Linked DNA regions of Nothobranchius furzeri. The protein of the gene in region 1 purifies or fractionates together with the protein of each later gene. This does not show direct contact. Links are inferred from orthologs where the notes say so. Each region holds a gene or a part of one and is shown on either strand. Other genes may lie near its edges.

What was found. The genes of interacting proteins can lie anywhere in the genome.
Region 2: the proteins of pnkp (region 1) and xrcc4 purify together in Homo sapiens (co-immunoprecipitation; 5 studies listed by BioGRID and IntAct, counting the BioPlex papers as one, with this or other methods). This does not show direct contact. The link is inferred for Nothobranchius furzeri from reciprocal best matches to the Homo sapiens genes PNKP and XRCC4.

What each region holds. Positions count from the first base shown.
Region 1 is NC_091753.1:66,377,123-66,381,796, forward strand, and holds part of pnkp (bifunctional polynucleotide phosphatase/kinase), read right to left. Parts: intron 1,618-4,674; coding exon 1,571-1,617; intron 1,387-1,570; coding exon 1,093-1,386; intron 1,029-1,092; coding exon 777-1,028; intron 1-776. UniProt on the Homo sapiens protein: Plays a key role in the repair of DNA damage, functioning as part of both the non-homologous end-joining (NHEJ) and base excision repair (BER) pathways.
Region 2 is NC_091746.1:37,569,058-37,574,374, reverse strand, and holds the start of xrcc4 (DNA repair protein XRCC4), read left to right. Parts: upstream 1-1,673; 5' UTR 1,674-1,801; intron 1,802-5,317.

The DNA.
Region 1 (4,674 bases):
GCTAATGAAGCTTTAGCTGTGTAGTTGATTTAAATCAACTCAAAATAAACGTGTTCTATAGTTTTGAGCTGAAGATGGGCTAGACCGACTGTTTTAGGCAGAATTTTGAGTTTTCAAAGAAAATTCATCAAAATGCAAAAATAATGACTACATATGCCTACAACACTTTTAGATACTCATTTATACAAGTTAACAACAAAAAAAGTTGCTTTTGGTGTGACTTGCTCTTTAAAGATATCAATGCCAAATGTAACGCAAGGAAAGAGCTCACCGAGTTGAACGTTTTCATACCAAATTTGCTGAAATAGCTGAAAATCTGAGGTAGTTGTGTTACCCCTACATCTGTTCTGGTGCGCCTGAAATTCTAGCGCCACGACTATGACACCCCCCCACCCCAAGGGTGGAAACATTTCTAGGGGAAACACTGAAACGGTTCCAAAAATGTATGGAAGAAAAAAGAAGACATAATAAAAAAGAGAAACGGGAACACTTTAGCTTGAATGCTGTAATAGCATTCAAACTATTAGCCCTCCCACTGTCCTAATGGGTGACCCCGCGGGGAAAGTTGACTATTGAGCAGGATTGATGGTTTATCCCTTGAGGTCCGCATGGCAGGAGTGAGGAGTGAGCACCCCCTGACCCCTGCCACGTGGACCTCAAGAGATAAACCATCAACCCTGCTCAATGGTAAACTTTCCTCACGGGGTCACCCATTAGGACAGTGGGTGGGGGGGTTAAACAAAAAAGGGTTTCAGTAAAAATAAGTGAATTTAAACCTTGCTGCTCCCTGTGACCCCCTCAGCAGTGTAAACCATCAGGGCTCCTATCTGCTGCCAGCTGCTCCTCACACCCCCACGCACCAACGATGGAGACGGGTCGTCTTTGCTTTCATCTGTCACAGACTTTTCAGCAAACTCTTGCAGATGTTTGAGCTTATCCTCGATGATTCTCTCCTCTTCCTCCTCCTCCAACTTTTGCCGCTTGCCCTCAGGGAGTCTGCTCTCTGGGCTCAGCTGCCTTTTAGAGAACTTCAGAAAAACACATTAAGTCTTATACCTTCTATTATTAATAACATGACAGAAACAGGTATACCTGTCCATGTTTTGCCTTAGAGGGAGAGCTGGAGAAGAAATCTTTTATACTGTGTTTAGACGTGAGACTGGGCTTAATATCCCTCTGCGTCCCGTTCCTCCCTCCATTGGTCTTATCCGTGGCTTTCAAGCTCCTCCTGGGCATGTTGGGGTCTTGTGCTTTGGAGCTCAGGGAGAAGGTGAGTGTGAATGGGTGGTTCTGGTCCACCAGGTACAGCGTGCCTCCCTGGGCAAGTTTCCCAGACTGGCCCCGTCCCAGCTTCTCACCATCAAGGAAACTGGGATTGGCACCAAGCTGCGGAAGGATACGTGTGGACGTTGAACCGCAGACCTGATAACATTTATTTAGTTTTTATGGGTTTAGATAAGCAGGGTGAGAGCAGAGGGGGCAGCAAGGCCATGCTGGCACCAACACTAGTTTCTAAGAATCGTTAGAAGTTAAATGTTGAGTCAAATGACAGCTGAGTTTCCTCTCATACCTGAGTAACGACCACATCCAGGTCTGCATAACAAGCCACCACCTTCACTGTAAGGAAAACAGGAGGAGATGACATGTGCAGCTCAACCCAACCACACAACAGTTTTATATCATTTAGAACAGGGGGTCCTCAATTATAATGGTCCGAGGGCCACTCAACAAACAGACCCAGGAGCAAGAGGTACGGACCGGGGCAGTGCTGTAGGAATGTCGGGGTGGGGGGGTGTTTCTAGCGCTTGCTGTACTGCACAAAACACACAAGCTTACAATATAATGAAGCACAGCACCTGTCCCCTCCTGGTTTAACTTCAGACAAAACAGGGGGGTTCGGTCTGCGGGCCGCCTATTGAGGACCACTGATCTGGAAATGTATCTATCATTTATAAATATGACAAAAAACCCTCTGACATCTTTAACATTTCCTATTAAATTTAATTTGTTTAAAAGGAACCCAGGTTACAAAACTGTGTGGTTCTTAAAAGATAAATGTTAGTATCAGTTATATTAAAATGGTGTAAAAAACCTTCTTAATGTCTTCATTTTTATAAAATTAGTAAAAATAGTTTAACTCATAGGTCGCCATTGTTGTTAGCATCGCAATGCACTCTGGGTAGTGACATCAATTGGTTGTACCTCGGTAGCACCGGTTGGCTTTGGGACCCTGTAGTGATTGTTCAGCGACATCAACACGTCATCTGTTCAGCCTTTTCACTTTGAACCAGAGTGAAACATTAATGGTGACATCACTGACCACGTTTCACAAGACGAGAGTCAACATGAAGAGCAGGAAGGGCGGGATGAAGCGAGAGCTGGACAACACCGGTGGCGCATGTGCGGCAAATGGGTCTCCATGGTAACTGAGGGAGAGTGCTCACATTTGTCAGCAGAAGTTAACGGTAAGCTTTCGTGTGATCAAACTTATTCAGTTATGAATGATTTAGGAGATTATTAGCATCCAGAGCTGTCGTGTGCTTCATAGATGATCAGGATGTTCAGTGAAACCACTTTAATCATTGTTGCAGATTAGGGATGGGTACCGAATTCGGTACTTTTTAAGGTACCAACCAAATTCCATAGTACCGACCGAGCACCGATTCACGTCGTTTCAAACGGTGCCTCCTTTCGGTACCCGTCCATCATAACGAGAACTTGCCTAGACAGCTGCGCATGCGCAAGAGCGTTATGTCGTCGGTCCCTGCGAGTGAGTTGTAAACAGAGCAGCATGGGTAGAAAGAACGCACGCTAACGCTTGGGTCTACTTCACTAAATGTGATGGGTAACTGGGTGATGAAACCAGCGACAATGATCTAAGTGAGTCATCCTCATCTTAATCTGTTCCGGTAGGTAAATAAAATGTTTAAGATAACGTTACCTTGATATGTTAGCTTCCGTTTCGCTAATGGTGCGTTCGCTTTCTCCTCGGAACTCCGAATTTCCGCCTAGAAGAACATGAATGCGCTCTAAAGTTTGGCTTCACTTCACTAAATGCGACGGGTGATTGGGTGAAGAAGAAACCAGCGACAACGATCTAAGTGTGAGGCATCATCGTTTTAATCTGCTCCAGCAGTTAAATAAACTGTTAAAGTTAACGTTAGCTTAATATGTTAGCTTCCATTGCCACCGTTGCCGTTGTTATCAGCTAATGGTGCGTTCGCTTTCTCCTCGGAAATTCTAACTTCCCAGTAGGAGAAATCAAATGAAAAAAGACGGCAAAAGGAATGAAGATACACAGTAAATTTAGTTCACAGTAAAGATGTTTGCTTCAGTTTAATTATCAACTTATAAAACTACAAGGACCATGTTAAAATACAAACAGTTGAATGTTATTTATCGTGATATTCATCAAATATTGTTATATATAGAGAAAAATATATATTTAATTATAAAAGAGAATTAAAATAAACACTCAAAAGTATCGAAAATTGGTACCGTTAAGTACCGGTATCGATTCGTAGGTACCGGGAATTAGTACCGGATCGATTCAAATGTCAAAGGTACCCATCCCTATTGCAGATATTATATATGTAGACAACACTGTGTTGCTACACTTACTGCTTGTTTTACTGATGGGAGAGGTGAACGTTCAGCTACATCCGTGACAAGTGGCGTGTCCGATGGTTGGCTGAACATGACAGAAGCGGCAGCTGAAGGAGCGGGTTGTCGGTTCAGGAGAGCATCCAGCATCTCTTGTCTCTCCGAGGGCTTTTAGGCTCCTTGTGTGGGGAAATGGTCGCTAAAGCATTTAGTTTCCACCTTCTCTTACACCCAACCACTCTGGTGAGCTCTTTAAGTCGTTGTGGTCGACTATAAGCCTCAAACGCATCAGGAGAAAAATGTTGGGAACACAACCGCGGATCTTTGGGAAGTTGTGTCCGTCCACAGGCCTCTTCCCACTGCTTTCTCCTCTTCTTGCCAGTGGGAAAGCTGTGTAGCGTGATGCAGATTCTCTGATTTGTGGCAAAGGTCACATTTGCCCAGCTGGGTCAAGCTGGGTCAAACAGTACTTTTGGATCCACAGATTAACCCAAGGAGCCAAGATGTCTGCTCAAGATCATAACAGCCATATATAGGTATCCAGGGTATTTATATATGATCTAAGCCTCATAAATTAATCTGATTGGTCATTCTTCGGAATCTCCACTGAATAGCAACAGAGGTGATTCCAGTATGCAGATTTAACTCTACAGCTGTGTAAACTCACATCACTCCCCTTGTTGCTCTTTGACTGGAAATTACATCCAAAAGCAGCACAATGCGGCATTTTACTTCATTATTAATACAGTGAGCATGTAAACAAACACTAGCGTCAATAGCTATTCTTCCAAGAGCAACCAATATACATCATCACCCCCAGAGTGCATAGCATGCGGAAAACATGGCATCCTACGTATGTCCAAAAATGTGCTAAATATTATAGATTTATAAATAAACAGCAATATTTTGTGTTTCTAACAACATAGTTTGGTACAACAGAAAACGTGTGGCTTATTAGAGCACACGCGTCCTCATAGCAGGAGTTCCTTTTAAAGCCCCCAAATCAAAATGGACCTATCAAAATACAATTTTACATTCAGTGAGAATTTTTTTTTTATTTTAAGTGTTAAA
Region 2 (5,317 bases), on another chromosome or scaffold:
CTCAGAAAATGTTTTAACATTGATGATAATTCATGTTCCTTTTGTGAGAAGGATGTTGAAACAACTGATCATATTTTCTTTGAATGCAACAAGACACGGACGTTTTGGAACTGTTTTGAAAACTGGATTCAACCTCAAATTGGAATCCCATGTCCCATTTCAAGAGATGTCGTCACCTTTGGAACTCTCCTTCAAACAAACAACCAAGAACTCTGCTACAATCTACTTCTCTATCTGGCAAAATTCTTCATACATAAACAAAAAATACTGAAATCACCCCCTGTGTTTAATGCATTTGAACATGATTTTAGATTGTATCTAAGATCCCTTAAATGTGTCAATAATAACAGCTATGAAGATATGTATAGACTGTTGTGTAGACTTCCTGGAACTGTGTAGTGATCCCTTGCATTGTTTGTTTTTGTGTATTTTTTTTTGTCCTCCCCCTTTTCACTGACTGTTCGATTCTCATCTGAATACATTGGCATGTTCGCCTTATTTATAATGTAAATATGCTTTTCTGCAATAAAAAAAGGTCCTACTCACTGGCATGCTGAATCCAGCCTCATGCAGTTAGCTGAGACGGCTTCCAGATGTCTGAGAAAACACTAGTTTTCTGTATTAGTTTTATTAGTTTAATCAATGGTTGATGTTATTATTGGTCTAAAAACAGCTGAAGAATATTGAAATTTTGTTGTGGCTCAGATTTTACTATGCTACATTACAATAAAACAACCCCCTTTCTGACTTGCTGTGTCTGCCAGTCAATTTGTGGCCAAACAGATTTTAGAGTATCTGCTCCTAAAACTGTTCTTTATGTTGACGGTGTGGAAGAACTCATGATCTGACGCTTTTCTCCTTCACCGTCTCTGACGGCTGGTGTTCAGACTGAGACCAAGTCAGATTTCAACCAGCTGTTTTTGTCTTCACATGATAAATGTGTGTCTAATGTCCATGTCATCATACCTCATCGAACTTCAGAGGTGATTTCATAATCTGATATCAAAAACCCCTATTCCTGTGTTTCTAATGATAAAGCCATGAACCAATCACACCTACAGTTTGTGTGACGGTTAGTGCTTTGATCAAAATGTCTATAATCTCAACAAATTCTTAACTTGGCAAGATGGTGTAAAGTGGTTTGTGTTTACCATGAAGATCCTGTCTATTGAAGTACAGATAAAACACTACCTATATGGCCAAATAAATACCGTCATGAAAAATTAAAATTTAATTATATTGTGGGGGGTTTCCATTCTTACTTCAAACATCTAGACAGCACTGAAAAACCATTTTAGGGTTTTAACAGTGTAACCACTGAAGGATCCATGACTACCCACTAACAGTGGGTTAATTGGGATCAGAGGTAACTGGATTGGTTTTATTATCTGAATGATGAAAGTTTCTTTGTAAATATTAGAAACTTTTTTGTGCACCCCGGCTCCTTTTTCCTGTGGTGTTCCACAGGGTTTAATCTCTGCACTACTGCAACTAATGTGGGATCTAAAGAAAACATCAAAAATTTCCAAAAACTTCACAAATGGTAGTACAATTGTTTAGATTTTAATACTTAACAGCTAAAATGTCTACCAAAAACATAAATAAATAAATAAATAAATAAATAAATAAATTACAGCTATTTGATCTCACATGCCTGTGAAAAAAATACTGCTCTATTGTGTCGCTTGCTGATGACGTCACATCGCAGGCGCCGGTTGAATCTTAAAACAGTTGCTAAAAGAGTGAAAACTTGGATTTTTCCTTAAAAAGCAGCTACCAACGTGATCCGGTACCACTGGAGGTAGGGCAAAAACTATCATGGTGTCTTTTTTATGCGAACGAGCTTTTTTTTTGCTCATCTTCTCACGTGTCGGCATCCGACTTTTGTTTACAAACAGCTCTGACATCTGAGAACTAGTTAACCTAGCTGCTGCTAGTTCGTTCGTGGTAACGCTAGATTATATCTTTAGCTCTACTTTGAAGGGTTAGGACTTAGTCAGAAATTTTATTTTTCTCTCCGGGGTTTAAAATCAGGTAGACGCAGCCAGTAAATAAAAGCAAAACAACAAACAAATTAGAAACATCAGCAGTAGATGAACAGATGTTAATGCTAATATCTGTGAAGGTGCATGAAAACACTTCCAAATTTATTTTAAGTTTATTATTTGAAATTGATTAAGTCATTAGAAGATGATAATTTTAATTTTTACTTACAAAGAAAGTTAGCAAAATGTGTTGGACTTGGTTTTCACACGTCTGTCTTTTGATAAGTACAGTATGCTATGACTTTAAGAATTGTCAATGTATTTTTTTCATTATCATTTATTAAATGTTTTATCATGATCACCTTGTCCAGATAAATAAATGTCCACTGGCATTTTATGGTCATATTCTCAGATATCCACGTTATATCTGACAGCTTCCCAAATCACCGTATTGAGGCTTTTTAGGGAGTTTATTTTACGTTTTGATGAACTGCTTTTGTTTTCACAATCTTGATAAAGTTATTCTTCTTGTTCTGTCCTCACTCTGGTCTTTATTACCCTATTTATTAATTTTCTGAGCTGTTTAGACTGGTTTGCAGGTAGCTGGTGCCTATCTCCAACATTCAAAAGGATGTTTACAATAATTTACATAATGTATTGTGCAAAGATTCCTCACCTTAGTCCTCATTAGATAAAACAAGACATTTGACGGTCCTAAGTATCTTTTATTAGTATTTATCTGTATTTTGAAGGCTATCTTGCCCCTACTTTAACCTAAATCTAGACCATTTGATGTATTTTTTTTATATTTGCGGACTTCATAAAGGATTTAGGTAATAGTAAAAACACTGTTTTCCCTCCATGTTCAAAACTGTTTAAATGGTTAGTCCATCTTCATGTAACCATGTCATCACTCCTAAGAAAGCACCAGTGGTTCAATATGGAGTCTTGTCCATCCATTCCATCCATTTTCTGCAGCAGCAAACTGTCCCCATTATAAACAGTGTTGGTAGTGCACTGATTTTGTCTCCTGAGGTGCAGAATGGTGGACCAGAATCTCTTCAAAGCCATATGGAAGTCTTGCTCCATGGTCTCATCGAACTCCTCCCATGCCCGGGTTTTTACCTCTGTGACCACCCGGGCTGCATTCCGCTTGTGTACCCATCAGCTGCCATGCGTCGAGGCGGGTCCGACTATTTCTAGTCAGAACCTCTCAACCTCGTACACCAACTCAGGCTCCTTCCCCACCAGAGATGTAACATTCCACGTACCGAGAGCCAGCTTCTGTAGCCGAGGATTTCAAGTGGCGCTCGCTGCAGAACCACAAAGGCGGAGCTGCACCAGAGTCAGCCCCGCCCATTCCAGAATCAGCCCCGCCCATTCCATCAGAGTCAGTCCAATTCCTTCCAGTTGTCAGACTTAATAGCATTCTGGAACCAAAGAGGGTGTTATATATCATCCAAAATGCAAGATTGAGGACTGAGTCGAGAGGTTACTTGAACCGTTTTTGTAAAGGTTCCATATAATTAAAGATCTAACTTTTGGAACTTTTTATCATCTTATATTGTCATTTCCTCATAATCAATCAATCAAAGATACTTTATTAATCCCAGAGGGAAATTAGAGAAACACGCCAAAGCCATTTTTGGCCTCATTCACACATTTACCTCCCATCTCAGCTTCAATTTGGTCCTCTTCTCCGAAGCGGGTCTGGTCTTGGTTCTCAAATCTGAATATTCTGTGAATTTTCTGACAAATTATTTCTGAAATGGCTTCTACTGAGACGCCGCCGAAAAACCATACATCCTGTCTACAAAAACACACTGGATGGGACAATTACATGTGACGCCACTAGCCTGTTACCAGATGTAGTGGTGAAGTGGTTGGGCAGTCAGCTTGGCATGTAGTTTTGCGCAGGTTCGCCTCCCGGTAGCGGCGCAAACTTTTTTCTTCTTTTCTAGCTACACTTGCCAGTACTATGTTTACAACCATTTATTGGTATACCGTTTAAAATATGACTAATGTGTTTTTTATTTATTCATTCATTTATTTAGCCAGTGTGAGTCCATTTATGAGCAGAGTTTCAACTAAAACGCTGTTTAGAAATGACCAAATTCAAATAACTTGTAGAGACATAAATATTTTGCAGAAAATAAACATTACAACTAAAATATAAACAAATTAAATGTTTCAGCTGGCTAAATAGATTGCTGCCAACCCCACCGAGAGTCGAACCAGCATCAGCTGAGGGGAAAGCAAAACTTAAATTTTGACGATCTTGCCACTAGACTACCATAGCCCACTAAATAATTATCCTTACAGTAAGTGCTGTTGTAGGCCGGTTCTGTTGGAGCAGCTATGGGCTAATATTCGCTAAAAGAAACCTTTTCTTTTCAGGATATATTCAGGCTTTGTCATGTAGCAAGTTATATTTGTCTTGCTTAATTGGAGCATAGAACATAGCATTAACAACTGTAAACTAGTAACAGCCGTAATTCATGTGGGTCAGGTTAGTTTGCGATAAAATAATATAAAAAAAAAACAACAGAAAAAGTCAGTAGGCTAGGCTGTTTGCGTGAGTGGGTGGGGCTGACTGGTGCAGCTCTGCCTTTGTGGTTCCGCAGCGAGCACCCTCTCGAGGATTTGACCGCCAAGGTCCCCACCTTCGGCTACCACCAATCACACATTGCACCCGATCCCTTTGGCTCTCCCATATGCGTGTGACCCAGCCGGGCTCCTCGAGTGAAACCTGAGGTTTCACCCCTGGCCAACAGGCGTTTGCCGACGTGCCCCACCTCCTGGCCTGTCTCCATAGGGCGGCCCCGATGACCCGCGTCTGGGCAGGGGAACACTGTTTCCATTTGTCTTGTTCTTCATAAAGGGTCTGTGGGCGCAACTTTGACTGATCCCTCACCTAGGACCTGTTTGCCATGGGTGACCATACCAGAGGCATAAAGCCTCAGACAACTTAGCTCCTAGGATTATTGGGACATTCAAACCGCTCCATCACAGTAAGGTGGCAGCCCAAGGAGGGGTATTGAGTCTTGTTTTGGCTGTACTTGGAGCCACATCCACTCATCACTTGTTCCACCAGATGGAGAAACCCTCTAAAGCTAGACACGGCTGTGTGCCATTTGTTGCATTTAGTTCAGTGTTCTTTGGAAAATGATTTGGCAGAGCTCCTGACTGTGCGAAGAAAACAGAAAAAAAAATCTGCTCTTGATGGACACGAGCTGCTGGGGATTTTTTTGTTTTTATCAGCATTTTACTGAATCTGAGCAGCTTTTCTCCTGTGTTCTCCTGGAGCTGCATCTGTCTTCTGTCACACACAC